7 linked regions of the Mus musculus genome follow. The protein of the gene in region 7 purifies or fractionates together with the protein of the main gene of each other region. This does not show direct contact. Links are inferred from orthologs where the notes say so. Each region holds a gene or a part of one and is shown on either strand. Other genes may lie near its edges. The genes, in order: Ccdc85c, Ylpm1, 1700037H04Rik, Ppp1r12a, Wdr92, Pfdn6 and Ppp1ca.

Region 1 (4,300 bases), on a different chromosome or scaffold from region 7:
TGCTGTTCCTTTCACCTGTCCGGCCTCCAGGCTTACCTTTGTCCTTGTCACTCAGGTTTAGGTCCTAGCTCCTAGGTCCCTCCCAGAACACAGATCTAAGGCAATTGAATTCCCCGCATAGCGCTGCAGACAGCCTCACCGATTCTTCTCACGTTGTACTCTCTCCCTCCTCCCAAGAATGCCAAGTGCCCTCAGAGAGCAGTGGCCTCTTGTCCCGGTAGAATTCCCCCGGGATGGGGAAGGTGTAAGAGGGCACATGAGGTGGTTTAGTAAACGGCTGAGTAACTGTAAAAGGGGGATGTCAGCTGCTGCGCGGGCACGCGCTCCAGGCCCGGGTAGCTTACCCCGGTTTGTGCGCGCGCAGAGTGGGTTATCTCCTTGTAGGTCCAGGGGAAACGCATCCTTCCCTCGGCCCGCTGGCTGCAGAAGCGCTGTTAAATGCGCTTAGGGGACGGGATTTATAGGTGTGGGAAGATCCGTATGCTCCGCAGCGATGCGGGGCGAGGGAAGAAGGTTCTGCGGTCGCTGAGTACCTATGGACCCCAGCTATCTGGCCAGGGTGGAAGACCTTCCCTCGCCTTTCTCAGGGGTTTCCACCTAGCGAACTGCATGTTCTTCCAATCCCAGGGATTTAGCGGTGTAGTGCGCGGAAGGGAAGGGCTCGGAGAACTGCTCTGGGAAAAGGGCAGGTCCTCGGCTCCCACCACGTCAGGGGAAGAAGGGAGAGAGATCTGGCCCTGAGATAAGGCTGGCAAGGCTCCACGGTCTTGGGCTAGGGGTGGGAAGACAGCCCCGCTGCAATATTAGGCAGGGACCCAGGTGGCTCTGGTCGGTGGCCCGGAAAGGGACAAAGACCAGCCCTGCCCGACCCCCCATGTCAGGGTCCTATTGTTCCTCCTCTCTCGGACTGTACCGAACTCTGGTGCCCCCGAGAGGGAGGGAGGGAGGGAGAGAGCTGTGCTCGCCGGGTGGGCATCTGTTTATTAAGGGTGAGAAAGGGAGGGTCAGGGACGCTGGCCGGATAAGGGACGCGTAAATTCGCGCGTCGCCTTTAAGGGAAGCCCTGCCCTACCTTTCCCACCGGTCCCCGCCACCCCCTAGCCCTACCTGCATTTTAAAACCCCTTGTAGTCCTGGGATTGGCCCAGGCCGCGTCCTCCGGGCGAAGAAACTTGAACCGGGAGTGTGGGGGGGAGGAGGGTGCAAGGCCCCGCGGTTGGAAGATACCATCTTTTCAGCCTCCCCGCGCGCGCCCCGCCCCTCCCGCACACCCCCGAACCTGGCCAATCAGACCTGTGGGAGGGCGGGACCGTGGCTCGAGCGCGCCTCTGGCAGGGCGCCCGGCGGGCCGGCGCACCGCGTAGGGGGACCTCGGGGGCCTGCCACTCCTCTGACCGCCTCCCTTTCGGAGGCGTGGCCCAACGGCGGCGCCCCGCCCCCTCTCCGCCCGGGGTGGGCGGGGCAGCTGGGGCTCCGGGAGCGGGGCCGGGGGCGGGCCTCCGCCTGCTGCGCCCGAGCTCGGAGAGCCGGGGCACCGCGGCCGCCGACGCAGCCACGGTCCCGGTTCCTCAGTCCTGAGGCGTGCGCGGGCTCTCGGGTGACCCCAGAGGGGGCCGCGGGAGGGAGCGCGAGGCGGCGAAGGGCGGGCCGCACGCGTCCCCAGCCGCCCCCCGCGCGCGCGTGGCCGAGCCCAGAGAAGCCCCGGCGCGGGGAGCGCCGGCCCGGCGCGGGCGAGGGCGATGCCGCGGTGACGGCCCCGCCATGGCGAAGCCCCCGGCGGTGGCGGCGGCGGCTGCAGCGGCGGCGTCGGAGGAGCTGAGCCAGGTCCCGGACGAGGAACTGCTGCGCTGGAGCAAGGAGGAGCTGGCGCGGCGGCTGCGGCGCGCCGAGGGCGAGAAGGTGGGCCTCATGCTGGAGCACGGCGGCCTGATGCGCGACGTGAACCGGCGGCTGCAGCAGCACCTGCTGGAGATCCGCGGCCTCAAGGACGTGAACCAGCGGCTGCAGGACGACAATCAGGAGCTGCGTGAGCTCTGCTGTTTCCTGGACGACGACCGGCAGAAAGGGCGCAAGCTGGCGCGCGAGTGGCAGCGCTTCGGACGCCACGCGGCCGGCGCCGTGTGGCACGAGGTGGCCCGCTCGCAGCAGAAGCTACGGGAGCTCGAGGCGCGCCAGGAGGCCCTGCTGCGCGAGAACCTGGAGCTGAAAGAGCTGGTGCTGTTGCTGGACGAGGAGCGCGCGGCGCTGGCGGCGGCGGGGGGCGCTGGCGGCGGCGGCGGCGGCGCGGGCTCCCGCAGCTCCATCGACAGCCAGGCCAGCCTGAGCGGGCCCCTGGCGGGGAGCGCAGCGGGCTCGGGGGCCCGCGACGTTGGCGACGGCAGCAGCACGTCCAGTGCGGGCAGCGGCGGCAGCCCGGACCACCACCACCACGTCCCAGCGGCTCTGCTGCCCCCGGGGCCGCACAAGGTTCCGGACGGCAAGGCCGGAGCCACGCGCCGGTCTCTGGATGACCTGTCAGCGCCGCCGCACCACCGAAGCATCCCTAACGGCCTGCACGGTAAGCATCTCGCCGGGATCGGAAGCCCATGGGTGTCTGTCGTGAAGCAGTAGTAGTTTCTGGAGACCTCACAGGTGCGGGGTGGGGGTGGGGTCGCACCTTCAGACCCTTCCGCAGCTGGCATAGCAAATGGAGCATTCGGCGTGGTGGTGTCCCTGTCTAGCTGATGCCGCAGAAAAAAGTTTCTCCTCCGCAGCTTTTTGTGTTACCAGCTGGCACTCTGGGGCTGTCGAGGGGTGTCTCTCATCCTACCCTGAAAACACTTGAGGGCAGAGGAGAGTTTTTCTTGGAAGACTATGAAAGGCCCCTAAGCTAAAGCAAGTGAATTTTCCCTTCTGGTTGGAGTCCCTCAAACTCACTTAGCACCCACGACTGCACTGTGCTGTGGCTGGCTTTCTCCCCTGCTTCCTTCCCAGCTGAATCTCCTCCTGGGCTGGGCTGGGCTGGCACACAATCACCCGTGCTGAGACCTTGACGAAGCTGGGCCAGAGTACCCTGGGCTAAGATAAGAGTCTTCCTGGCTTCCCATAAGTCCCGCAGTACTGGTTGGGACACCTTTCTCAGTTCGGTCTCTACAGTTTTCCCCAGAGGATATATTTGGAGTGGATTCCGACCTCTCCGTGTGCCTCAGTTTCCTTTCTTCCTTGCTTGTAAGTTGGAGAGGCTGATGGCCGCCTCACCGGGGTGTGAGGTGGAGATAGATAATGCCCCTGAAGAGATCTGTAAGCTTGATCGTCTTACAGGAAGTGCTGGGGTCATCTGTGGCCAGAGTGTGGGTTGGAAGCCGGCTCTGTCTTCCTCAACCTGTTGCTATTGACCCTACAGGAGGGTGTCCCCACCTAGGGTACTGTGGCTGTCCCTTCAGTGGCGATCTGGGCCCTGCAGCTTCCCTCCTGTCCTGACTACCATTTGCTGTGCTACTCCGTTTCCCCCACAGTTTTTTGGAGCTTGGCTCTCAGTGTTGATGGCACTTGCCTTTGCCTGAATTGTTCCCCTGGTAGCGAAGAGTAACTCGCCCTTTCTGTTCTCCTTAAAGCCTTTCTCCATCCATATACTGTCAAGGCTTAGAAGAACTTCTCTTCCCCAAACTCACTGCTGGAGCTGAGGACCAAGCTTTTTCTTGGGTTTCCTGGCCAAGCCCTCTGCAGGCATTTTGAGGCAGGAGCTGCAGTTCTCATGCAGGTCAGATAGAGGTTTCCCCTTTATTTACTCTCCAGAGCTTGTGAGTTCAGGAAAGGACTGGGGCTAAAGGGATATTTTGTTACTGATTAGCAATCTACCACAGCAACTCAGGTTTCTTTTTGTAACATTGCATCCACAGGGCCTTACCCCGACAGCTATTCACTCATGCTCTAGATGCCAAGTTCTAGTTTACTTTGGGGGAACGGACACCCCTCTTTACAGAGCTGGCATGCATCTCTTTGGCTTCACCTTCTTGGGGGGGGGGCTATTCACTCATGCTCTAGATGCCAAGTTCCAGTTTACTTTGGGGGAACGGACACCCCTCTTTACAGAGCTGGCATGCATCTCTTTGGCTTCACCTTCTTGAGGGGGGGGGCTCTGGGAGGGCCAGTGTTCAGGGTCTTGATTTCCCCAAGTGCATCATGAAGGAGGGGAATCTTTGCACTTAGGGAAACACAGGGCTGCTGGTTTTCAGCTATGTCATCAGTAACAGTGGTCAGGGTGAGTCTCCTCAGGACACTGTCTCGCTGAGTGTCTCCACCTCTTTGCAGACAGTCTTTTT
Region 2 (2,856 bases), on a different chromosome or scaffold from region 7:
TTTAGCTCACATAGAATGCCTTTGGCGCTGGCCAGAGATGACGTGGAGCCGATAGGATGTGTCAAGAGACCTTTAGTGGTAGGGCTCTGTCTTATAATTATGGGAACGTTTTGAAACAGGTAAGAGTCACAACTGTGTATTTTAAGGTCACTTTGGCGGAGAATGAAAACAGTTTTTTTGACTTCTTGTAATTTTAAGTCAGTTAATCTACCCAAATAATAATAACATATTATCCAAAGAGGTTGCCTTTGGGGTTCCCTCCCTCAAACAGCCCAGTCTAATGCTTTTTTCTCTTTAGGTGAGATGGGCAGACCTAGAAGAAAAGAAGGATGCAGATAGGAAAAGGGCCATAGGTTTTGTGGTCGGACAGACTGATTGGGAGAAGATCACAGATGAGAGTGGTCACCTGGCTGAAAGAGCCCTCAATCGGACCAAATATATATGAGACTTAGTTTTGAATGGAGTCATGTTCCTCTAAGGTAAGGGCACCCAGGCATAGAAATCGCCTGTCATGTGGTTGCTTCCAAGGTACTGAGGACAGCATACTTTACTAAAAATGATTTTTCTAGCTCTGAACAAGTAAGTATGTGCTAGTACAATAACATTTGCAATACAGAAAAGAAAGCAGCTATTTGTAACCCAGCTCACTTGTAAAAGACTTAAGAGAGCTTGGGTTCTGTGTCCCTAGGGAAGATGGAGTCATGCTATGACAGATGCTGAGGTCTGCTAAGTCGTCTGTGTTCCTTTCCTTTCCTGGAGTGACCCCGTTTTCTTCTCTTTCCAGGTGGTTCGATGTGAGGCGACCTGAAGCTCAGCCCTCGGGAAGCTTCTTGTGTCTGGAAGCTTCTTGTGTCTCCACGTTTCAATTTTGTTTTGTTTTACCACTTTCATTTTTAAACGTTTTCCAGTATCCCCCCCAAAATTTTAGAATCTTGCTATATCCAAGCAAGACATTATTAATATTTTTTTTAAACTAATTTGGGGAGGGAGGGTTAGCTTAAGTGCTAAGTCAGGTGTGGATCCACAGGAGGGTTCCAACAGAGTGTTTCCTCCACTGTATACTGTCACAGACTATCATCATTGCTTTGTGGCTGGTTTTGTTTTTTTACTGTATGTAACAAGTAGCTGATTGTACTTGGATAAAAAACAATAAACTTTCACTATAAAGCCAATGAGATTCATAGGCTGTACAGTATGGGCCCTTTTCTCTTATTTTCTTACATTTATTTTTATTGTTAATTAAATGCAGTATGTCCTGCTTGCTGACCACCCCCAAACCACCTCTTTACTATTGAATATTAGCACAGCTGTTTGGTAGCACATTGTAAAACTCCATGATTGCAAAGTGTCCAGTGATGACCAAAACATTCAACTTTATAGATGGAGTTCTCTTTCTTTGTGTCTTAAAGACTAACAGAATCAAGTCTAAATATCCATCAATTTTCTGAGACATCTCTCTCTCTCTCTCTCTCCCTCTCTCTCTCTCTCTCTCTCCCTCCCTCCCTCCCCCCTCAGGAGGGGGAAATACGGTGTTACCTCTTTATTCTTCCTTTCTCTTTGTGCTACCTTGTTTGATTTCCTCCCTCTCCCCCCCCCCCCTTTAGCTGGTTTTAAATACAGGTGAACAGAAATGATACATTCCATAGAACTCAAGTTGTTGCCTTGTTTTGAACTTGAATCGTTGCTTTCTAAGACAGGATCATGGTAAAGGAGTATGAAAAGTCTCCAGCCCTCTGGCAAGCAGTCTTTGAGCCTGGCCAGCTTTTCAGGCTCTTGCCAGATTGCTCATTATTGTAAAACTTGGCCTTCAGCATAGAATTTCATCTCCTGTGGATAATCCCACTCAGAACCCAGAAGCAGAGCTTACATCCAGATAACATTCTTCCTTAAGTATAGAAAGGAGGTGCTTGCTTTTTATCAGTCTTCACAGATAGAGATGAACTTTCTTCCTCAAACACTATTTCTTGGTGGCAAGCCAGCTCAACAACTTGGGAACATGTTAACAGATGACCTCAGCATTATGTCATGGTTGGAAATCTTTAGTTTTTCAATCTACATTAAATACTGTGCTTGGAGCTAATATTTCTTAGCAGTTCAGGAGTGTTACTTTGGGTTCAGTAATGACCTTCTCAGACTGAAGGCACTAATCGTAACATCTTCCTGTACTTTTCCCTCAAATTCTGAATGTTTATGCCTAAAAGACTAGGTTCATTAACAAGTTAATATTGAATGTATAATTTGCTTAATTTAATGATTTGCACTGTTTGTAATGTTTAATAATCTATTTTGGTGGCTAAGGACTGTAATCTATTTCTGCATATGGATCCATCTTAGCTACCTTTATTATACTGGAAAATGTTACATGGTAAGATAGCCAAATAGAGCTATTGTTTGTACAAAGACTCATTTAACACTTATCTTTTCTTACTAAAGTAAGACTTGTAAAGTTATTTTCCTGCTTGAGAAGAAAAGAAGGCCTCTTTGTTCCTCACCTTTAACCTTTGTGTAGCATTTGAAACACCCGAGAGATGAGTGTTGGTTACCCACGAATCATGGGTCTCAGCATCGTCAGCCATGGCCTGTGGCAGTTTTCAGAAAGTAGTTAGAGGAGCCACAGTCAAGAGCTGCCTGCTTTCAGAAGTGGGTTCATCTACAGAGAGTCAGAAAAAAGAACCAGAAAGCAGTAAGGAAGATAACCAATTAATACTTGATTCTACAAGGCCAGTAGGAAACTCTTAAGAAATCCTAATTTTTATTATCACCTAAACCAACAGAATAGAAGGTCAAGTGGTATCTTGGGGAGTTTTGGGTTGGGTAAACATTTTGTAGTGAGTCAACTCTTCTTAGTTACAGTAC
Region 3 (4,055 bases), on a different chromosome or scaffold from region 7:
TCCATTTCCTGCAGAGGCCAGACTCTGAAGGCGAGCCATCGTGCAGGAACCGCCTGTAACCCTAAGAATGGTAAGGCAAGTAACAGCAGGGACCCATGAGAGCCTGAAAAAACCAAACCTCCTTTCACACCAGACAACCTGCTAGTGGCCGCCCCATGGGAGCTACACTCATCCATACAAATTCCTCATTAGAAGCAGGAAAAGAGGCCACTGGGCCTCTCCCGCTGTAGTCCTGTCCACAGGGACCTGCTAGGCCACCTCACAACTTCTAGCCTGGCCATGCCTCCAGCCTGCACCTGTGCTAGCCAAGTTCCCACTGTCACCTAAACCACACAGACCCCTCCCCACCCTGGGGATGGGGGGACAGTAGCCAATCAAATTCAGACTAGACCCCCCCACACACACATGCCCCATTGGCTGTGAGGACAAGCCATTTCACTTCTCCAATAGAGTAAGCAGTGGCCTGCCTGCTCTTCTCTGGGCCTGTGTGGCTGTGCCTAGGACTCTGTGAAAATGCCAGCACCCTCTACTCTCCCTCCTCAACCCTTAACCACCACAAAAACAGAGCTCTGGGGACTTGGTTCCTAGAGCAAAGGCAATTTCACCGGAAGAAAGGCACTTCTGGTCACTCTTGGAGGAGTCCTCGGAGAGTTCAGCTTCTCAGAAACTAGCTAAGAGATGAAGGAGGCCCCTCCCCTGCCCTTCTTCCTTTCCTCACTCCAGGGCACCAGGCTCTGGGAAGACTATGGAGGAGGCTGCTGTGGTGCCTTTTCTACTTTAGGCCCCTCATCTGGCAAAGAAGATGATGCCCCTGCCCTTAGATGGCTGTCGACAAATCAGGAGTGAGAGGAGAGAAAACTGGGTATGGCAGCAGGCAGACTTGGTTAGTAGAAGCCGGAGGATCAGAGTTCAAGTCATCCTTGGCTACAGAGTGATTGTAAGGACAGTCTGGGCCACCTGAGACAATATCTCCAAATAATTAGTAAGTAAAAAACAAATATACATAAGTCAGGTGAGATCCTGGACAGCTTCAGGCGGGGGCACACTGAGGGCTTCTTGGTATTTCAGATGCTCTTAGGGAAATTGGAGTGACTAAAATGTGGGCGGGGAAAGCTCTGAAGCTACCTTCCCAAAGAGCTAGCATGTGGGTAAACAGGTGGTGGTTATGGAAAAATCCAGGGTCTTCGGTGTCATAAGGCCTTTTTCATTGTCCAGTCCAGGCTGCCCTGTTCTAGCACTCAAGCTCCAAGCTAAGAGGCAAAGGTGATCTACCCATGGCAAAACGGAACTCTTGCATTGTGACACTCTCTCTCCCTTCTGATTACCTACCTCTTCCCAGAGGCAGCCTTTAAGCCCCAAGGTATCACAGAGCCAATTTCAGCTTGCGTTGTGCTGTGTGGCTGGGAGCACAGCCCCAAACCTTTTACCGTCTCCTCTCTGAATCATTCTTCAACCACCATTCCCAACCCCATAAAAGCCCTTTCTATGTCAGAGCAGTAAACAACCTTCAATTCTTCCTACCACCTCCCCTACACCCATCCAGGGACCCAGTCACAGCTCAATCATCAGCCCAGCAGAAGCACTTATCCAACCTCCCCTTAAAGCTCAAAGAACACCCACTGAAGTCTCAGACAGGGAGTGCTACATGGAGGTCGCATGTGGAAGCAATCTTTCATCTCCTCAGCCTTGACCTATCTTTGGAGCCCCCTTCCCCAAAGCCAGGGATGCAAGGACGGTAATAGGTGTTTACTCTCACAAACAGTGGAGGGAAGGGTTGACCTGTGAAAAGGGTGTTAGTCCCTCCTGTCTACCAACCTGTGTGGTTCTCCTCTGCCTAGCATTCACTTCCCACATCCCCCTCTGACATCAAAGGAGGCTGCTTGGATTCATCTGGCCTCTAGATTGACTCTTTCACCCAAGAAGCAGAGACACGGGTGAAAGCTGCTCCTACCCCCCACCCACCCACCCACCACCCACCCAGCCCACCCCACCCCACCCCAGTGCAAAGCAATGCCCTACCTTCACATCCCACCACCAAGATTAAAGAGGAAAGACTCAAGCTGTCCAACCGAGCCCTGTTCACTAACAGGAGCACTGGTCCAGAACCTAAATCCAACCATTTCTGTGAGACACTGGAGAGGCTCTGGCTCTGGCCCTCTGGCCTTTCCTACCGCCATCCCTGTGGGTGTGGCACGCCCCACCTCAGTGTTATTGTTTTCTCAGGGGACAAGAGCAGCAGAACGGGCCTCAGACGTACCCACACCAAGAGCAAGGCCGCGGATCTGTCCATCTGAGATAATGCCCTGCGCTCTCTGAGCTCGCCAGGCTGACGCAGGAGTCTCTGGAGCCGACACTCCCAACATCAACATCCTCCTCATGATCGTGCCCGGGCACCGGAGGCTCAGAGGCTACTCTTCCAAGGTCACATAGAGCCACGAGGACCAGGTAGGAACGGGACGTCAGCCACATTTACGCCCCCACCCTCAGGTGTCACTTGTACCCTGCCCGCTAACCGTCATTTGTACCCAGGACCCCACATCCCCCACCCCATCCCGCTTCTACAGAGTTCCTCAGGCTAGAAAGCAAAGCCTCCAGCTCCAGCACAGCTGAGGATCTCAGACCCAGGAGCCGTCTCTGGTGAACTAGACGGAGCCCGGAGGGCCCATCTCACCTTGCAGGCGAGCCCCGCGGCCAGGCGGTCAGAAACGACCGCGGAGGCGGCGGTAGCAGCAGCAGAACGGGCTGGAGAGCGCGAGGAAGAGCCCCGCGCCGCATCAGCCTCGCGCCACGCCCTCTCCTCCTTCATTGGCTTGAGGGGCGTTGAGGGGCGGGGCTAGGGCACTTCAGACCAATGAGCTGTCTCTGAGATCCACCAATTAACGACGAGATTCCACATCACGTGTGCGCGGAGGCTGAGCCCCACGAGTCGACGTCACCCCAGCGGCACGAGCTTGGGTGATGAAGCGGGATGGGAGCTATGTTGGAACCGCTGCTGGAAACCGACCAGAGCGACCTTCCCCATGAGGTTTCCGATCCGCGGCAGTTTTGTCTAGGAGTTAAGCAGTCACCTTTCCTACTGGACTGAGTCTGGATTTCGGTCTTCCTTTCCCACCCATTCCCTATTCCAAATAAGCATTAGAACAAAGAAGGCACGCGGCGTAGGAAGGGGGGAAGGGAGCGTACGCGGGCGCCCCCGGGGACAGGAGCTTCTGCTCCTGGTCTCCAAGGAGGCGGTCGCCATGGCAGCGGGATGCGTCTCGACCCACCCGACAGGGTGTGGGCGTCTTCGTAGAGCACTTACTAAGGCTTGTGGATTTTTGCCACAGGCCCACCTGTCCGTGTGCGACTATCTCTATCCTTATATACACTGATTAGGACAAGAGGTTTAAAGTGCCGAAAGAGCAGTCAGAACACACAGGTTCCCGATCCTTCCAACTTAACTAGCGGAGACAGGCCTTGGACCGCTGAGAGCTTGCTTGTTTTTCCGATAGAATGTGGTCGCTGCCTGTAAGAGTCCTCAAGGTCCGACTCTTCCGTGTCCTTATGGCTGTTAACCTGACTCGGATCTTGTGTTCGCACGCTGGTAACAAATAGTCTTTCTGTGCTATTGTTTTCATAGCGTTACTTCAGAGGGCCCAGTGCTTCCCTGCTGTCTTCAGCAGGGCTTCTCAAACTTTTTATCGTTGTTTTGGATGGTACGTGCGCTCCCTACTGTTGAGAAAATTCTGTCCTCCAGAGCGGACATTGAGAACTTTTCATTCTAATCCCAGCCTACTCAACCCCTACTCCCACCTTTCCAGAAGCCCCGTGGTGTGTTCCATATCTGTTCTTTTCCAAGTCAGCAGACAGTGCCTCCAAAGTATCCTGAAGGCCACCACGCCAGGCAAAAGCAGCCTGCAGATGTATAGCCCCCGGAGACTTTTATAAATACTTTTCTTCCCATCTTCTTGCCCCTCATCCTACTTCTTCACAAAGGATTCTCATTTCCAGTCTTCTTTTGAAATATCAGATCTAACAACACATTCTCACATTTACATTCAAAACAAGAACCAAGG
Region 4 (3,500 bases), on a different chromosome or scaffold from region 7:
TACTCTAGCAATTGTAGGTCCAACTCTTGGTGCTGGAGCTGGTGGTCTGATGAGGAGCACAGTTTGTTTTCTACTGTGTGCAGTTGTGTGATATCTGAGATAGTGAATGTAGCGTCCACATACAGACACATCCTACATAGAAATGCCTCTTTCCTTTAGTTGCTCCTTTGGTAGAAGACAAGATGATTTGATTAGTTGTAGTGTTCCAAGCACCACATCAACACCAACAGTTACCTCTGCAGCGGGGCTTCAGAGAAGCCTCCCTTCCAGCACAAGCACTGCTGCAAAGACTCCCCCGGGTTCCTCCTCCGCAGGCACACAGAGCAGGTGAGTCACAGAGACGGTCTGTGTCCAGGTCTACTGTGTGCTTATGTGCGTGCATGCATCGTTGTGTAGACAAATGTGGGCTCTGGATTTTTTTATTTACCATGTCAAAATTGTTTTTAAGCAAAAATTGGTTCCAAAAAAAACCAAAAAAACAACAACAAAAAAAAAACAAAAAACAAGCAATTATGCATGTCTGGGGAAAAAATATTAAGGTCTTAAATCATATTGCTTAAAATAAAAATTTATTTCTTTGGCAGCTCTGCGTGAGCTGTTTGATTACTAATCTTGTGTTTTTAAAAAATCCATCCCTGTGGTCACCTGTTTTCAGCTTCTAGAAATGGCTTTCGTTGTTTAGCTGTTTTCCTTTTCTCTTTTTGTGTTGCTGCTTATGATGCTATAGTACCTCAAATCGTTTGTGGGCTGAGGATAGTACTGAGAAAGAAAAGGACAGTGCTCCTACTGCAGTGACCATTCCTGTGGCTCCAACTGTTGTAAATGCTGCAGCTCCTTCCACCACCACCCTGACTACAACTACTGCTGGCACTGTTTCCGAGGTCAGGGAGAGACGCAGGTGTGTACAGGTCCTCTCAGTACTAGTTTCTGCTGATATGCTTGGCCAGTTTCTGGTATTTTGTGTTCTTTGCTTGTTTGTTTTGTTATTCTTGGAAATGTGATATGTATTAGTAACTACTTTTCTGTTTCTGTGCTAAAATACCATGACCAAGGCATTTTATAGAAGAAGGGGGTGGGCCAGAGAGATGGATGGCTCAGCAGTTAAGATGCCCTTCCAGAGGTCCTGAATTCAATTCCCAGCAACCACATGGTGGCTCACAACCATCTATACAGTGTGCTCACATACAAAAAAAAATAATAATTCTTTTTTAAAAAAAGATTAAGGGGATTTTGCTTATAGGTTCATAGCGTTAGAGTCCATAAATGTCTGGGTAAAGGCGGCAGGCAGCTGTGGCTAGAGAGTGATTCTGAGAGCTCCTTACATCTTGAACTGCAGCATAAGAAGGAGGAAGAGCTGGGAATGGTAGGGTCTTTAATATCTCAGAGCCCATCACCAGTGGCATACTTCCTCCAAGAAGGGCAGACTTGCAAAGCCCCCTCACGCAGCTCTCCCAACTGGGAACGGAGTGTTAAAATATGTGATCCTAAGAGGCATTCTCATTCAAACCACCACAATGACCAATCATCTTAATAGGCTAATAAATGAAATGTCATGTATTGACTCCAGCCTAGGGAAATGGGCACAGCTAGCAGTTATTAGCAGTTAGGCGTTTTAGTCATCTCTGAAAGAATTGATGTCTGGGTCAATAAAGGCAAAGCCAGACAACTGTCTTCCTAGATGTTAATTATCTTAGTGTTGTGTGTGTGTGTGTGTGTGTGTGTGTGTGTGTGTGTGTGTGTGTGTGCGTGTGTGTGCGCGTGCGCATTCGAGAGCACATGTGTTGTGAAGACTTGGGAGAAAATATATTACAACATACCAAGATTAATTGTTCTTGTTACAAAGGAAATAGATGTATTTTAAACAGTTTTGTGTTTAATTTTCATTGTAAGATTATATAAGGTTAGCCGTGTAGCTTAGTGGTAAAGCCATTGCTTCAGGTATCAGTCCCAGGTTCACTCTTTTTGTCTTCCCCTTTCTTCCCAGTTCTTTCCCCCTCCAGCTCCTTACCTCCTCCCTCCTCGTCCTTCCTTTTGCTTCCTTCCTCTTTTTCTTCACTGGGGGTCAAACAAGGGGCTTCTGTCTACCATTGAGTTACACTGGAGACACTTATCTTTTTTTTGTTTGTTTTTTTTGTTTGTTTGTTTGTTTTTGGTTTTTTGTTTTTTTTCGAGACAGGGTTTCTCTGTTTAGCCCTGGCTGTCGTGGAACTCACTTTGTAGACCAGGCTGGCCTCGAACTCAGAAATCCGCCTGCCTCTGCCTCCCAAGTGCTGGGATTAAAGGCGTGCGCCACCACTCCCCAACCCCCCCAACCCCCCGGCCCGAGACACTTGTATCTTAATTACTTATAAATCAGCAGTTGGAAAGAAAGGTCCAGACTCCGTTTTATCTCTTAAGATTCCATGCTTTTAATTTAAACAAAAGTCTCAGTGACAGCATGCAATGAATATCCCCTCAGAATCAGCAATTATTTTAGAATCAAATATGATTCTCTCCTCCCGTCTTTCCTCCCCCGTCAGAGCTAGGCTCAAAACCAGTGCCTTGTGTATTCCGTGACAGCTGTAGTACTCAGGTTTATTGATTGCATTTAAGAAGAGAATTGAGGAGGGTATGGCTTTTAAAAATTAGTCTTAATTTTAGTGGAGGATATTAAAGATTAAAAAAATAATCTTTGGGCTAGAGAGATGGCTCAGTCGTTAAGAGCACCGACTGCTCTTCAGAAGATCCTGAGTTCAAATCCCAGCAACCACATGGTGGCTCACAACCAACCATAAAAAGATCTGACTCCCTCTTCTGGGGTGTCTGAAGACAACTACAGTGTACATACATATAATAAATAAATAAATCCTTAAAAATGAATAAGTAAATAAATAAATAATCTTTATTACATTCACCAAAGATTATTTTAGTGGCATAAGAAACAAAATGTTTATCTTTTTTTCTGTTAAAACTGAAAACAGTCTGTATTGCTTAAACACTATCACAGTTCTGCCTTTTTTTTTTTTTTTTTTTTTGGTTTTTTGAGACAGGGTTTCTCTGTGTAGCCCTGGCTGTCCTGGAACTCACTTTGTAGACCAGGCTGGCCTCGAACTCAGTACTGCCTTCAAAAAAAGCTTTAAAAGAGTCATCTCCGTGTACCAGCATCGTTACTAGGGTGGAATCCTAGTTATGGTTAAAGACATGGAAGTAAAGCCAGGTTCCTTCATAGAGAATTTACAGAGCCTACTACACTCTGGCTTTCTAGGTTTTTTCATTTGGTTTTCAGACCCTTCATCTAGTTCCCACGTTTTCTGCTGCCTGGCAGTCCTGTCTGCCTTCGGGCCTCATCCAATCTCTTCCTAGATTTCTTATCTGTCTCTGGGTGTTGGCAGTAGTTGCCCCTTGGCTGTCACCATCTGTATGGTGACAGATAAAGACCCACCGACATCATCTGCGTCAATGGGAGAGGTCTGGAGAGGTGCACAGATGATTAACACCATGTTGACCACTGGCTTAAGTCC
Region 5 (3,500 bases), on a different chromosome or scaffold from region 7:
CAAAGACAAGCAGCAACACTGACAAGATCAATTCACATTACAAGTATATTAATACAAGGTTAATTAATTTCAGACTTATAAGAAATAATTATGTGGCCAGGCGTGGTGGTGCACGCCTTTAATCCCAGCACTCGGGGGGGCAGAGGCAGGTGGATTTCTGAGTTCGAGGCCAGCCTGGTCTACAGAGTGAGTTCCAGGACAGCCAAGGCTACACAGAGAAACCCTGTCTCGAAAAACCAAAAAAAAAAAAAAAAAAAAGAAAAGAAAAGAAAAAAGTATGCAATGGCATGGCATGACTATTTTCTAGAAAGTAAACACTATGTAAAATGTAATTTGAGATTTTTTTTTTTTAGGGTATCATCTGCATTTGAGGCTTTGCTTAACCCTATTAATGGCATTTGGTACTAAACTAGGTCAATATTATCAATTAAACTAAAAACTATTGTAATAATAGTAAATATTTTCAACACTATGCACATTCTAAGAGCTTTAGTGACATTACTTCATTGGTTCCTCAACACTATTAAGCAAATTCTATTAGCTACACTGTACATACAGTAATTTCCCCAAGGCACACAATAATAGCACAGTGAAGATAAAATCCTAGCCCGGGGCTGATATTAAGTCTATGGTACCTGACTGGACAAATCTCAGAACAGTCTACAGAACAGGCTACCGGAGCCTGCCCATAATCTCCTGAACCGTGATGAACCTGAAGTGCAGTACCTTGTCAGTAACTTACCAAATGCCACGGTCCAACAGTCTCTCTTGTTTTCTCCTTGTGCAGGTTCCATGTTAGCGACAGGATCCTCTTTTTGCCTTGGGTCCCACACCTTTACAGTTCCTGTCATAGATAAAAGGCATTGGCAAAATTCATAGTGACTGATCACACTTCCTGTTTGTTTGCGTTCTCTTTCCACAGTTATCTATATACGCGACAATAATTGTTACAACATCTGTAAACTATTCATGTTTTTTCTGACTTCAAAATGGTTAAGTTGTACTTGATACCAGACACAACTCCATGTTAGTATTAGAAATGATTCCTAAATCAGAGAAAACCCAAAAGTATTCCTAGGCTATCTGTAAGTTTTGAGGGACACTCAAAACAGGCCCTATTGTCTGGGTTAGTACCACATACATACAAACACACTTAGAATAATGGGAGTATCATTTTAACTTTGCTTTTCTTACTACACATATAACCATTGATTGGTTCTTGTCTTATACAGAAGAATAAGGGCTGTCACTACATTTTTATATGGGGTTCTAAAGGGCCATTTCAGCTGCTAGCGAGGCAGTTCATGGCAGAGTGACCAGCATGCATGAGGTCCAGTTTCACTTGTTGACACAGAAGAAGAAACAACCCCATCTGCCTCACACAGAATTAAGCTTAGCTTTCCCGCAAAAGTTAATGAGGAGGGAATATTAATAAAATTAGATTAAACTAAGTTTCAACCCTCTTATATTAATTCATATTATAGGATTACTAACTAGTAGTGTAGTTAGTAATCTACATAGTAACTAGTGTCATAGCCTACAATCAACATGATTGCATGTACTGAGATGGCTAAATGGCCTACATGTGAACATGAACAGGGAAGGGAAAAAATACCCCTGCAAGAGACCAGGGATAGAGCTGTCACCAGAAAGGCTACAGTCCTATGTGGAGGGGACTCCCACAGTTCTGACAGAGATCACCATCTCAGCTACGGGTTTGTACAAGTCATTAAGAGCTTTGTAAGTTTTCCACACTGGAATTGGCAAAGAACATAAAGACAATTCAAAACACAGAACTAATCAATACACAGGCACTGACACTAGCACACATGGAGACGGAGGACAGTGGAGAAGGAGGACAGTGGAGATGGAGGGCAGCTTCTAGTCTACAAACTCACAACAGGAAAAAGCAATGCCAACCACTTGTAGTCCCTCATCCACTATAGCTGGCCAGGGAAATGGGTACTATGGGTTATTTAGAAATACATTCTTTTTTCTTTTGTTTTTTCTTTTTAAATTGGATGTTTTCTTTATTTACATTTCAAATGTTTTCCCTTTCCAGGTCTTCCCTTCAGAAACCCCCTATCCCATCTGCACTCCCCCTGCCTCTGTGAGGGTGCTCCCTTACCCACCCACCCACCCACTCCCGTCTTACCGCCCTGGCATTCCCCTACACTGTGGCATCAAACACCCTCAGGCACAAGAGCATTTTATAAATCATAAAATATCCCCCAGGACTTACATACATCACTTCTTTAAAACTTCAAGCCTCTATCCTAAGAACACCCAGAAACCTTGGAATGGTTGTTACGGAAGCATGGTATGATGTTACGGCCACACGATGGAATGTTACAGCCATTAAGCTAAAGAGCTACGGAAGCATCTGCATCTGCAGACCTCTAAGTACGGGGGAGAAGCACAATGGCAATGGCAATGGCAGCACGATGAACTACTCGCCATCCACGTGCCCCACGGAGCTCCCATGAAAAGTCATTCTAGCACACCTCTGCTCACCAGTAACTATTAGAAAGTGATAGCTCATTTTTCTTTTATAGTAATCTTTTGAGAGCAACTGACGCATCTCCATATGAGACAACAAAACGTGGGCCCATTAGTCATCCAAGCTGGGTCTGTTGGTCCCTGAGGCCAGTGCTGGGATGCTCATGGACACATCACAGAACACGTCTTCAGGTACCTGTCAACCTGACAGTCTGCTAAGTAGTAACTGCATTTTAGAAAGAAGATGAGAAGCTGCCTCACATATCCCATGGCTGCTTCAGAAACCCTCGAAGACTTATAAGTATTTCAAACTCAGCTCATTGTTAGTTGTTGAACTAAGTCCACATTGAAATATTCAGTGCTGGGTCTCTCCCTGCAAATACACAGAAGCTGGAACTGAATGAGAGATGTGCAATAAAACTTGTCTGTTATAATGCAGATGCACAAATAAATGCAGATGTATGGTAGATACAGAGTCAAGCCAACCAGAGGATTCTGTGTGCAGAGGATATGGCAGCACACAGAGGTTCCATTAAACATTTGCTCAGTACTTAAGACTGACTCACCATCACGGCTGCCCGTCACGATTTCAGGGGCTCCTTCCCCAATTCCAAGTCCACCTACACCATCTATGGTATTTATGATTTCTTTGTGGCCCTTTACAGAATACACTGGCATCTCTGGAGCTTCCAAGTTCCTAAGCAGAAAATACATAACTGCTTATCACATGGCCTTAAAATACATAACTGCTTATCACATGGCCTTCAAACCAATTAAACTAAAATACATAACTACTTATCACATGGCCTTAAAGCCAACTAAACTAAAATCAATAAAAACAAAAAACAATGCAAAATGGACGACTTTAACCTAAGACAGAGGCTCTGAAAACACTAGAGGAAAACACACGTGATACCCTGGATGCCAGAAGCACAGGCAAGGATTCTCTGAAACGGACTCAACAGCACAGGAAATGGACCCATCAAGACAGGAATGGATAA
Region 6 (3,284 bases), on a different chromosome or scaffold from region 7:
TCGAGGCCAGCCTCACTACAGAGTGAGTTCCAGGACTACACAGGGAAACCCTGTCTCCAAAACCAAAAAAAGTTACATTCAAACCAACCCTGAGAAGATAGACGGGGAAATCAGGTAACAGTCTAGGGCTAGGGCTGCTTGGGGAGACAAGTGCTCACCGTGAGTGACTGTCATTTCCTGGGCTCTCAGGCCAGAGAACTGAGTTCTATGGCAACGAACAACATGCTGCACTGTAGACAGTGTCTTCTCCCGTGTCTCCCGGTTACGCCAACCAACGTAGGGAAGTCAAAGGGTTGTATGTACAGGCAAGAAATAGCTTGAGACGTTTCAGACTAAAGTTTTGAAACTGAAGGGACCCAAGGAAACACCCTGGGCACAGTTCTCAGCCACAGGAAAGCAAAACAGAATCCGGCCACTGAGAGATTTCAGTCACAAGACCGTGAATCTCAAGAGGTGTAAAAGTGTACGGGAATGGAAGTACAGTGAAGAAAGACTGGCTGTAAAGTAGGCTTGGTTCTGTTTACATTTTATTGGCTCAGGGTTAGCCTCATCCCTCCCTCCTGACCCCCTCCCACGGGGTCAGGCTTTCCCAGGAGCCTTTGCAGCTTGGGCCCGCTGAAACTCCTGCTGCAGTTGAGCAAGGGTTTCCCTCTGTTGCTCTGACTGCCGCTCGAGGTCCCGAAGCTGTGATTCGTAGCGCTTGCTGAGGAGGGCAAAGGGAGGCAAACGGAGAGGAGATATCAGCCAGGGCTCAATGATATGGTGGAAGACTGGAGGTTTGTGGGACAGAAAGCGGGGATGGCACTAAGGGGAAGAGAGGGCTGCTGTCCTCCAAGGCTGGCACCTGAATTCAAGCTACAGAACCCCACAGTAGGGAGGCAAACATTCCCGCAGGTTGTCCTTTGACAAGTGCCCTCACCAGATGTCACACAGCAAGAAAGGCCAGGAGTGGTGCCACATGCCTTTAATCCCATCCTTTAGGAGGCGGCAGCAGGCGCATCTGTGTCAGGTCAGCCCCGTCTACAGAGCGAGTTCCAGGGCAGCCAGGACTTTACAGAAATGGGTAAGTGGAGAACTATCCAGCACGGGTTTAACACTTGTGCACTGAAAACGCCATCCGCAGGACTTACATTTCTGCTGTGATGTAGTCTAGCCTCTTCCCTACTGTGGCCCGAGCCTCCCCCAGCTCCTGTTTGACAAGCACGGGTCCCAGAAGCTTAAAGACCACGTTGGATCCATCCAGCAGGGCCAGCTCCTGAGAAGGGGATGAGGCAGTGAATGAGATGATCGTGCCCAGGAGAGTCCCTCCTCGCCCCCCACCCCCGCGTCCCATCCTCACCTCCTTCACGATATTGTTTTCCGTTAGCTGTGCTTCGAGCTTCTGCCTCCCTGACATAGATTTACTCAAGTCTGGGGTGGAGAGAGGAAATGCACGATTAAAAACATCAAATGGGCCCAGAACCGCGCAATTCTGGGGAGACTGGGTGTGAGGAAGAAAGCGACGATACCGAGGCGAGGGGTAACAAGATGCACCCCCGCAGCCCCCAATGGGGCGCGACGCTTCATCATAGATGAGAGCGGACAGGAGCGAGACCACACCAACTCCCTCTCTTACCCTTCTGCAGCTGTTGATATTTCTCTACCTCTCCCTGCAGCTTCTTTTGGATCAGTTCAGCCATGGTGAAGGAGAAAGCCTCCTGGGCGGGGGTCGCTGGGTCTCAAGCTCTGGGAGGCACCTGAATCCCCCCTCCCTGACCCTGCAGAAGGACAGCACTTTCTACCCGCAACTCTCCGAGGCGCCGCAGCCTCTTTTCGTCCAGAATAGCCACTCCCTAGGCAAAGGAGAGCGAAAGAAGAGATCCCCGAACCCTCCAAGCCAAACGCTAACCTCTTCACGCTCTACCCGCTGTAATCAATAAACCCGGAAGTAAACAAGGCATGACGGGAGAGAAAAAGACGGCGCCGGAAGTTACATTCCGATACATGCTGGAACATGTAGTTCTGACTTGTGTGAGGCTCGTTCGACCTAAAAGACTCGGCTCGAGAGGTTTTGGGCAAGACAGAAAAGTTAATATGGAAAAATCTAAGCTCATAGTTAACAAGATTCGGGGCTCATACATGCTTTTTAAATCTTTATTTGGTTATAAGCTGCTCCTCGGGCGATCCTCCCGGGCTCACAGAGGCATGCCCTCACTTAACATGGCGCCGGAGGCTTCAGACGCCGGTACGGCGCTGATTGGATGAAGGGGGGGACTTCCGGAAGTTTTCCTAGACCGCCGAGCTACTACTCAAGGGAGTTTCGCACGTGGATCGTTGTTCGGTCTTGGAGATGGAGACAGCCCCCAAGCCGGGTAGGGGTGTCCCACCCAAGAGAGACAAGCCTCAGGCCAAGAGGAAGGTAGCTTTGGTGGGAGGTGTCCGCGTCCCGGGCCCAGGCTCGGGCAGCGTGTGCGAAGGCTTTTCCTCTGCCCCTTAGAAACCGCGGCGCTACTGGGAGGAGGAGACCACCCCGGCCGCCGTCGCCACCTCCCCGGGGCCGCCTCGGAAGAAGGCGAGGACTGGGGAGTCGCGACCCCCGAGGTCCAAGAGCGCGCACATCGCCCAGAAGTCCCGGTTCTCCAAGAAGCCCCCGATCTCAAAGACCGCTCCAGACTGGAAGAAGCCTCAGAGGACGCTGTCGGGGGTGAGCCTGGGGTTGACAGGGTGGCGGTGCAGGTCGTCCCCGGAGATCGAGAGGAACCGGATCCATCAGAATCTGCCTCCTGCCTCCTTGTCCTCGCCAGGCTCAGGACCCGTTCCCAGGACCCGTCCCCGCCCCCCTGGAGGAGGCCCGGAAGTTTTGTCGAATTGACAAGTCCAAAACGGTGAGGACCGGCGGGCTGTCAGAGGGATTGGAGGCCGAGGGTTTGGATGAGGTGGTGGCGGCTTCCCCAGTGGTTTTCCTGGGACCCCCACATATGCTCTTCGGTTCTTGCAACCCTGTCAACAATGCCGTAGCTCCCACATTCGAAGCCTAAAACTCAAAGCAAACTCGAGAAGGCTGAAGCGCAAGAGGAAGAGGCAAGCGTCAGAGCCGCCCGCGCTGAGCTGCTGCTTGCAGAGGAACCTGGGTGAGTGGACCCCGACCTGGGCTTTCCCCGCTGTCCTGTCTCTCTGCGTTTTTATGTTTGTATGCCCGCTGCATGGTGGGGACCGTCACCGTCGTCATCCTAACTGCCTTTTAGGTTTCTGGTAGGAGAAGATGGGGAAGACACGGCAAAAATCCTGCAGACAGACATCGTGGA
Region 7 (3,961 bases):
GCTCACCTCCTTGCTGCACCTCACCTCTTCTTCTCACTTCCTCCTCAGTCTCAGCTCAGCAGCTTGCTGGGGGCCCCTCCCTGGTGGGGGGACTCCCCCCTTCCTCTGTGAGGTTCTTCCTGCTTGCCCTAGTGCCAGAGCCACGACCTCCTCCCATCCAGAGGATGCTGGGTGTATTGATTCCCTGGCTGGCCCAAATTGAAGATGACAGGCCACCTTCAGTTTTACCAAGTAAAACCAATTTATGGTTCCAATAATAATTATCCTTTAATGTCATCCCACCCCTCCAACCCCCTGCCCCGGGTTTTTTGTTTTGTTTTGTTTTGAGAGTGAAGGGGTAGTGTGAGAACAGGGTCTTATGTAGCCCAGACAGGAGATGACCCTGAACTTCTGATCCTCCTGTGTCCAGACTCCTGAGTGCAGGAATTTCAGGCACTGGAATTATAGGTTTACGACACCAAGCCTACTTTAATGTTCCTTCCAGAGCCGGAGCTGGAACCTCAGGCCTTGCACATGCTAGACAAGTCCAAGTACTCTACAAAGGACTTACAACATGAACGAGATACAACGTATTACATCACTTATGGAAAAAAAATGGACGTAGCAGGCACCAAGGCAACCTGGACCAAAACACTGCTTAGAGTTCAGTAGCAGGTGTTCATGGGTCTGGCCATAAAGATGGAGGTGAATGTGAGGCTCCGGAGGTCTGGAGCCCACTCTCAGTATCATTAAGCCTTAGTTTCTTTTTCTGCACTTCGAGGAATTTATTTAGTGTTTGAGAAGTCAGCGATTAACATGCTCATACCACAGTCCCACGCAGGGCTGGGGTGGGAGAGACTTGGAAAGAGAAAAACAATTCCTACAGTACTTCCGGCCCTAACTCATCTGAACGCGGCAGGGCGATTCCTCCAGGGTGGAGCCGACCTAACCCCGCCCTACCGAACCCCGGCTCACCACCCCTGCCAGCCCCGCCCGCTCGCCCGAGGCCCTCTCGGGCTGCGGAGCTTCCCGTCCAGGGGAGGCGCTAGAGAGCGGGGAACTACGGACGCGGCAGGGCGGGGCGGGGCGGTCGACCGAAGAGGAGGGGCGGCGGGCCGGGGGCGGGCTGGGGAGGGCGGAAGGAGAGCCAGGCCGGAAGGAGGCTGTAAGAGGGCGGGAGGCAGGAGAGGGCCCGGAGCTGGTGGGCCGGAGCGGCGGCGCCGCCATGTCCGACAGCGAGAAGCTCAACCTGGACTCCATCATCGGGCGCCTGCTGGAAGGTGGGCAGGGGTAGGGAAGGTGCGCTCGCGCCGAGCCCGGGCCCCTCGCCGTCTGGAAGTGGCGCGCGGGCGGCCCGCCGCTCCCGGGGGCTAGCGTCGCTTGGGCGGGGACAGGCCGTGAGGATCCATGGCCACGGCACCCCCCCCCCCCGCGGGCGCCTGGGCTTTGGAGCGCGCTCAGAGGCCGGGGGTGCACGAGTGCCCGGGACTCAGGGTGAGGCTCCTGCGAAGCTAGCTGGGAAGGGATCCCGAAGCGAGGAAGCTTCGGCTGACAGGCTGCTGAGCACAGGCGTTTCTCTGGAGGCCCTCCGGGTGGCTAAGGGGTCGGATCTTGCCTTTGAAGGCCTGACGCAAAGGTTTCGGGGTGAGGGGGTGGGGGCTCACTTGCAACAGTTGCCCCTGTTAGGGGGGCGCGACACCTACCCTCGTCCGGTCTGCGAGGTCAGGGTCCCAAGACCCTATTCCGTACTCAGTGCAGGGCTCACGGCCTGGGAAGAACGTGCAGCTGACAGAGAACGAGATCCGTGGTCTGTGCCTCAAATCCCGGGAGATTTTCCTGAGCCAGCCCATTCTTCTGGAGCTTGAGGCGCCCCTCAAGATCTGTGGTAAATCCTTGCACAGAACCCTTTTGCTTCCTGAAAATAGCCCCTACTCGTGCCCCATTAACCGTGTTCCTCCACCCTTTAACCTATTGCTGGCCCTGGGGTCAAGTTTACATCTTGCACCTACCTAGTTTTCTCTGGTTCCCAGGTGACATCCATGGCCAGTACTATGACCTTCTACGGCTGTTTGAGTATGGTGGCTTCCCTCCAGAGAGCAACTACCTCTTCTTGGGGGATTATGTAGATCGGGGCAAGCAGTCTTTGGAGACCATCTGCCTGTTGCTGGCCTATAAGATCAGATACCCGGAGAATTTCTTTCTACTTCGTGGGAACCATGAGTGTGCCAGCATCAACCGCATTTATGGCTTCTATGATGAATGTAAGTGCTTTGAATGTTGCTGTCTGCCCAGAACTACATTCCCTGCTCTTCATGGGCCCCCTACATTGGTCTAGTGCCAAAAGACCCCCAATGATGAGCCCTGTAGGGCCCCAGCAACACGTCTGTCGTCCTTGGCGCTCAGGAGGGGCCTGGTGAATGGATGTACATGCAGGGCTGCCCATTTGCTAAAGCCACAGCCCTGCCTGATGACACCCCCTTCTAGTACATTCCTTAGTAAACATTTAGGATGCCTGTATGAATAAAACAGACCCACTCCTGGTTTGGCCTCATCCATGGGACCAGAGTGGGTACCACCATCATGGTTGGGCCAGACGAGTTCAGGTGTTGGAATTCTGGAAGGTAGATGAGGGTAGAGCAAAGAGAAGAATGTAAGCTTTCTTTGCTTTTCGGTCTTTTTTTCTCAGCTTTGTCCCTGGATGGGTGCACAGAAACCTAGACTGGGGTTGGGGGTTGGGGGTGTAGTCTTCCCTATGAGCCGCTTCCTTTTGCGCAGGCAAGAGAAGATACAACATCAAACTGTGGAAGACGTTCACTGACTGCTTCAACTGCCTGCCCATTGCAGCCATTGTGGATGAGAAGATCTTCTGCTGCCACGGGGGTGAGAGTGGTTGTGGGTCTGTGCTTGGGTTCTTGGGCCACATCCTTAGGGGCCTTGTAAAGTTAACAGAACTCTTCTCAGTTCCCTGGAATAGCGCTCCTTGAATCTCATCTTGGATATCGCTTATTAGGGGAGATTACCACACCCCCGTTTGTTTTTGAGACTGGCTTTCTGGGTAAAACCCTGACAGTCCTGGAACTCACTTTGTAGACCTGGTTGGCCTTGAACTCACTAGAGCTCCTGCCTATCTCTGACTCCCAAGTGATGGGATTAAAGGCATGCTCCACCCACCAGTTTGGTTGCACTCTTTCCTGTTGTGGCATGAGGCATCCTGTAGTCAACTCATTAATCTCCTTCTGCCCCCCCACCCCCGAGGTCTGCTATCTGTACTTCTAAGTGGTGGTGTCATATAAAGTGAGTTCCAGGACAGCCAAGGCCACAGAGAAATGGGGCCAGTGGGGAAGTAATGGATTCTGTCTCCCTGAACTTAAGGAGCCCAGATTAGCGGTGGGAACAGTGGAGCTGTCCCACCCCAGAGCTGGGCACAGGACAGCACTTGGTTTAAGGAACACTATTCCCACTCCACCACCCCCAGGCCTGTCTCCAGACTTGCAATCCATGGAGCAGATTAGGCGTATTATGCGGCCCACAGACGTGCCTGACCAGGGCCTACTGTGTGATCTCCTGTGGTCTGACCCTGACAAGGATGTTCAAGGCTGGGGCGAGAATGACCGTGGTGTCTCCTTTACCTTTGGGGCTGAGGTGGTAGCCAAGTTCCTGCACAAGCATGATTTGGACCTCATCTGCAGAGCACATCAGGTGGGCTGGTGGCCTGGGGCGGGCTGGGGGTGGGGGTGGGGTGCCTAACTTACAGACTAAACCGTTCCTGCCCTGGCCCAGGTTGTAGAAGATGGCTATGAGTTCTTTGCCAAGAGACAGTTGGTGACACTCTTCTCAGCTCCCAACTACTGTGGAGAGTTTGACAATGCTGGTGCCATGATGAGTGTGGATGAGACCCTCATGTGTTCCTTCCAGGTGGGTGTGGGGAAGAGGCTGCCCAATAGACGCCTGGCTCAACCCCAGGACCCTGATGAGTGTTTTC

What was found.
Region 1: the proteins of Ppp1ca (region 7) and Ccdc85c purify together in Homo sapiens (affinity purification with mass spectrometry; 4 studies listed by BioGRID and IntAct, counting the BioPlex papers as one, with this or other methods). This does not show direct contact. The link is inferred for Mus musculus from reciprocal best matches to the Homo sapiens genes PPP1CA and CCDC85C.
Region 2: the proteins of Ppp1ca (region 7) and Ylpm1 purify together in Homo sapiens (affinity purification with mass spectrometry; 3 studies listed by BioGRID and IntAct, counting the BioPlex papers as one, with this or other methods). This does not show direct contact. The link is inferred for Mus musculus from reciprocal best matches to the Homo sapiens genes PPP1CA and YLPM1.
Region 3: the proteins of Ppp1ca (region 7) and 1700037H04Rik purify together in Homo sapiens (affinity purification with mass spectrometry; 4 studies listed by BioGRID and IntAct, counting the BioPlex papers as one, with this or other methods). This does not show direct contact. The link is inferred for Mus musculus from reciprocal best matches to the Homo sapiens genes PPP1CA and ADISSP.
Region 4: the proteins of Ppp1ca (region 7) and Ppp1r12a purify together in Homo sapiens (affinity purification with mass spectrometry; 3 studies listed by BioGRID and IntAct, with this or other methods). This does not show direct contact. The link is inferred for Mus musculus from reciprocal best matches to the Homo sapiens genes PPP1CA and PPP1R12A.
Region 5: the proteins of Ppp1ca (region 7) and Wdr92 purify together in Homo sapiens (affinity purification with mass spectrometry; 6 studies listed by BioGRID and IntAct, counting the BioPlex papers as one, with this or other methods). This does not show direct contact. The link is inferred for Mus musculus from reciprocal best matches to the Homo sapiens genes PPP1CA and DNAAF10.
Region 6: the proteins of Ppp1ca (region 7) and Pfdn6 purify together in Homo sapiens (affinity purification with mass spectrometry; 3 studies listed by BioGRID and IntAct, with this or other methods). This does not show direct contact. The link is inferred for Mus musculus from reciprocal best matches to the Homo sapiens genes PPP1CA and PFDN6.

Annotation. Positions count from the first base shown.
Region 1 is NC_000078.6:108,272,594-108,276,893, reverse strand, and holds the start of Ccdc85c (coiled-coil domain-containing protein 85C), read left to right. Parts: upstream 1-1,500; 5' UTR 1,501-1,760; coding exon 1,761-2,556; intron 2,557-4,300. UniProt on the Homo sapiens protein: May play a role in cell-cell adhesion and epithelium development through its interaction with proteins of the beta-catenin family. May play an important role in cortical development, especially in the maintenance of radial glia.
Region 2 is NC_000078.6:85,069,321-85,072,176, forward strand, and holds part of Ylpm1 (YLP motif-containing protein 1), read left to right. Parts: intron 1-298; coding exon 299-445; 3' UTR 446-479; intron 480-784; 3' UTR 785-2,856. UniProt on the Homo sapiens protein: Plays a role in the reduction of telomerase activity during differentiation of embryonic stem cells by binding to the core promoter of TERT and controlling its down-regulation.
Region 3 is NC_000068.7:131,157,282-131,161,336, forward strand, and holds the start of 1700037H04Rik (UPF0687 protein C20orf27 homolog), read right to left. Parts: upstream 2,801-4,055; 5' UTR 2,672-2,800; exon of another isoform or gene 2,224-2,671; intron 1,736-2,223; exon of another isoform or gene 1,106-1,735; intron 71-1,105; exon of another isoform or gene 16-70; intron 1-15. UniProt on the Homo sapiens protein: Adipocyte-secreted protein (adipokine) that acts as a key regulator for white adipose tissue (WAT) thermogenesis and glucose homeostasis at least in part through activation of protein kinase A (PKA).
Region 4 is NC_000076.6:108,252,598-108,256,097, forward strand, and holds part of Ppp1r12a (protein phosphatase 1 regulatory subunit 12A), read left to right. Parts: intron 1-159; coding exon 160-327; intron 328-727; coding exon 728-898; intron 899-3,500. UniProt on the Homo sapiens protein: Key regulator of protein phosphatase 1C (PPP1C). Mediates binding to myosin. As part of the PPP1C complex, involved in dephosphorylation of PLK1. Capable of inhibiting HIF1AN-dependent suppression of HIF1A activity.
Region 5 is NC_000077.6:17,221,893-17,225,392, reverse strand, and holds part of Wdr92 (WD repeat-containing protein 92), read right to left. Parts: intron 3,197-3,500; coding exon 3,066-3,196; intron 845-3,065; coding exon 743-844; intron 1-742. UniProt on the Homo sapiens protein: Key assembly factor specifically required for the stability of axonemal dynein heavy chains in cytoplasm.
Region 6 is NC_000083.6:33,938,409-33,941,692, forward strand, and holds Pfdn6 (prefoldin subunit 6), read right to left. Parts: upstream 1,936-3,284; 5' UTR 1,680-1,935; coding exon 1,616-1,679; intron 1,411-1,615; coding exon 1,340-1,410; intron 1,256-1,339; coding exon 1,131-1,255; intron 704-1,130; coding exon 580-703; 3' UTR 501-579; downstream 1-500. Other genes in the region: Wdr46 (WD repeat-containing protein 46), read left to right, coding at 2,241-2,351, 2,477-2,683, 2,784-2,864, 2,998-3,110, 3,225-3,284. UniProt on the Homo sapiens protein: Binds specifically to cytosolic chaperonin (c-CPN) and transfers target proteins to it. Binds to nascent polypeptide chain and promotes folding in an environment in which there are many competing pathways for nonnative proteins.
Region 7 is NC_000085.6:4,191,013-4,194,973, forward strand, and holds the start of Ppp1ca (serine/threonine-protein phosphatase PP1-alpha catalytic subunit), read left to right. Parts: upstream 1-1,161; 5' UTR 1,162-1,204; coding exon 1,205-1,259; intron 1,260-1,732; coding exon 1,733-1,864; intron 1,865-2,009; coding exon 2,010-2,240; intron 2,241-2,754; coding exon 2,755-2,859; intron 2,860-3,454; coding exon 3,455-3,678; intron 3,679-3,759; coding exon 3,760-3,894; intron 3,895-3,961. UniProt on the Homo sapiens protein: Protein phosphatase that associates with over 200 regulatory proteins to form highly specific holoenzymes which dephosphorylate hundreds of biological targets.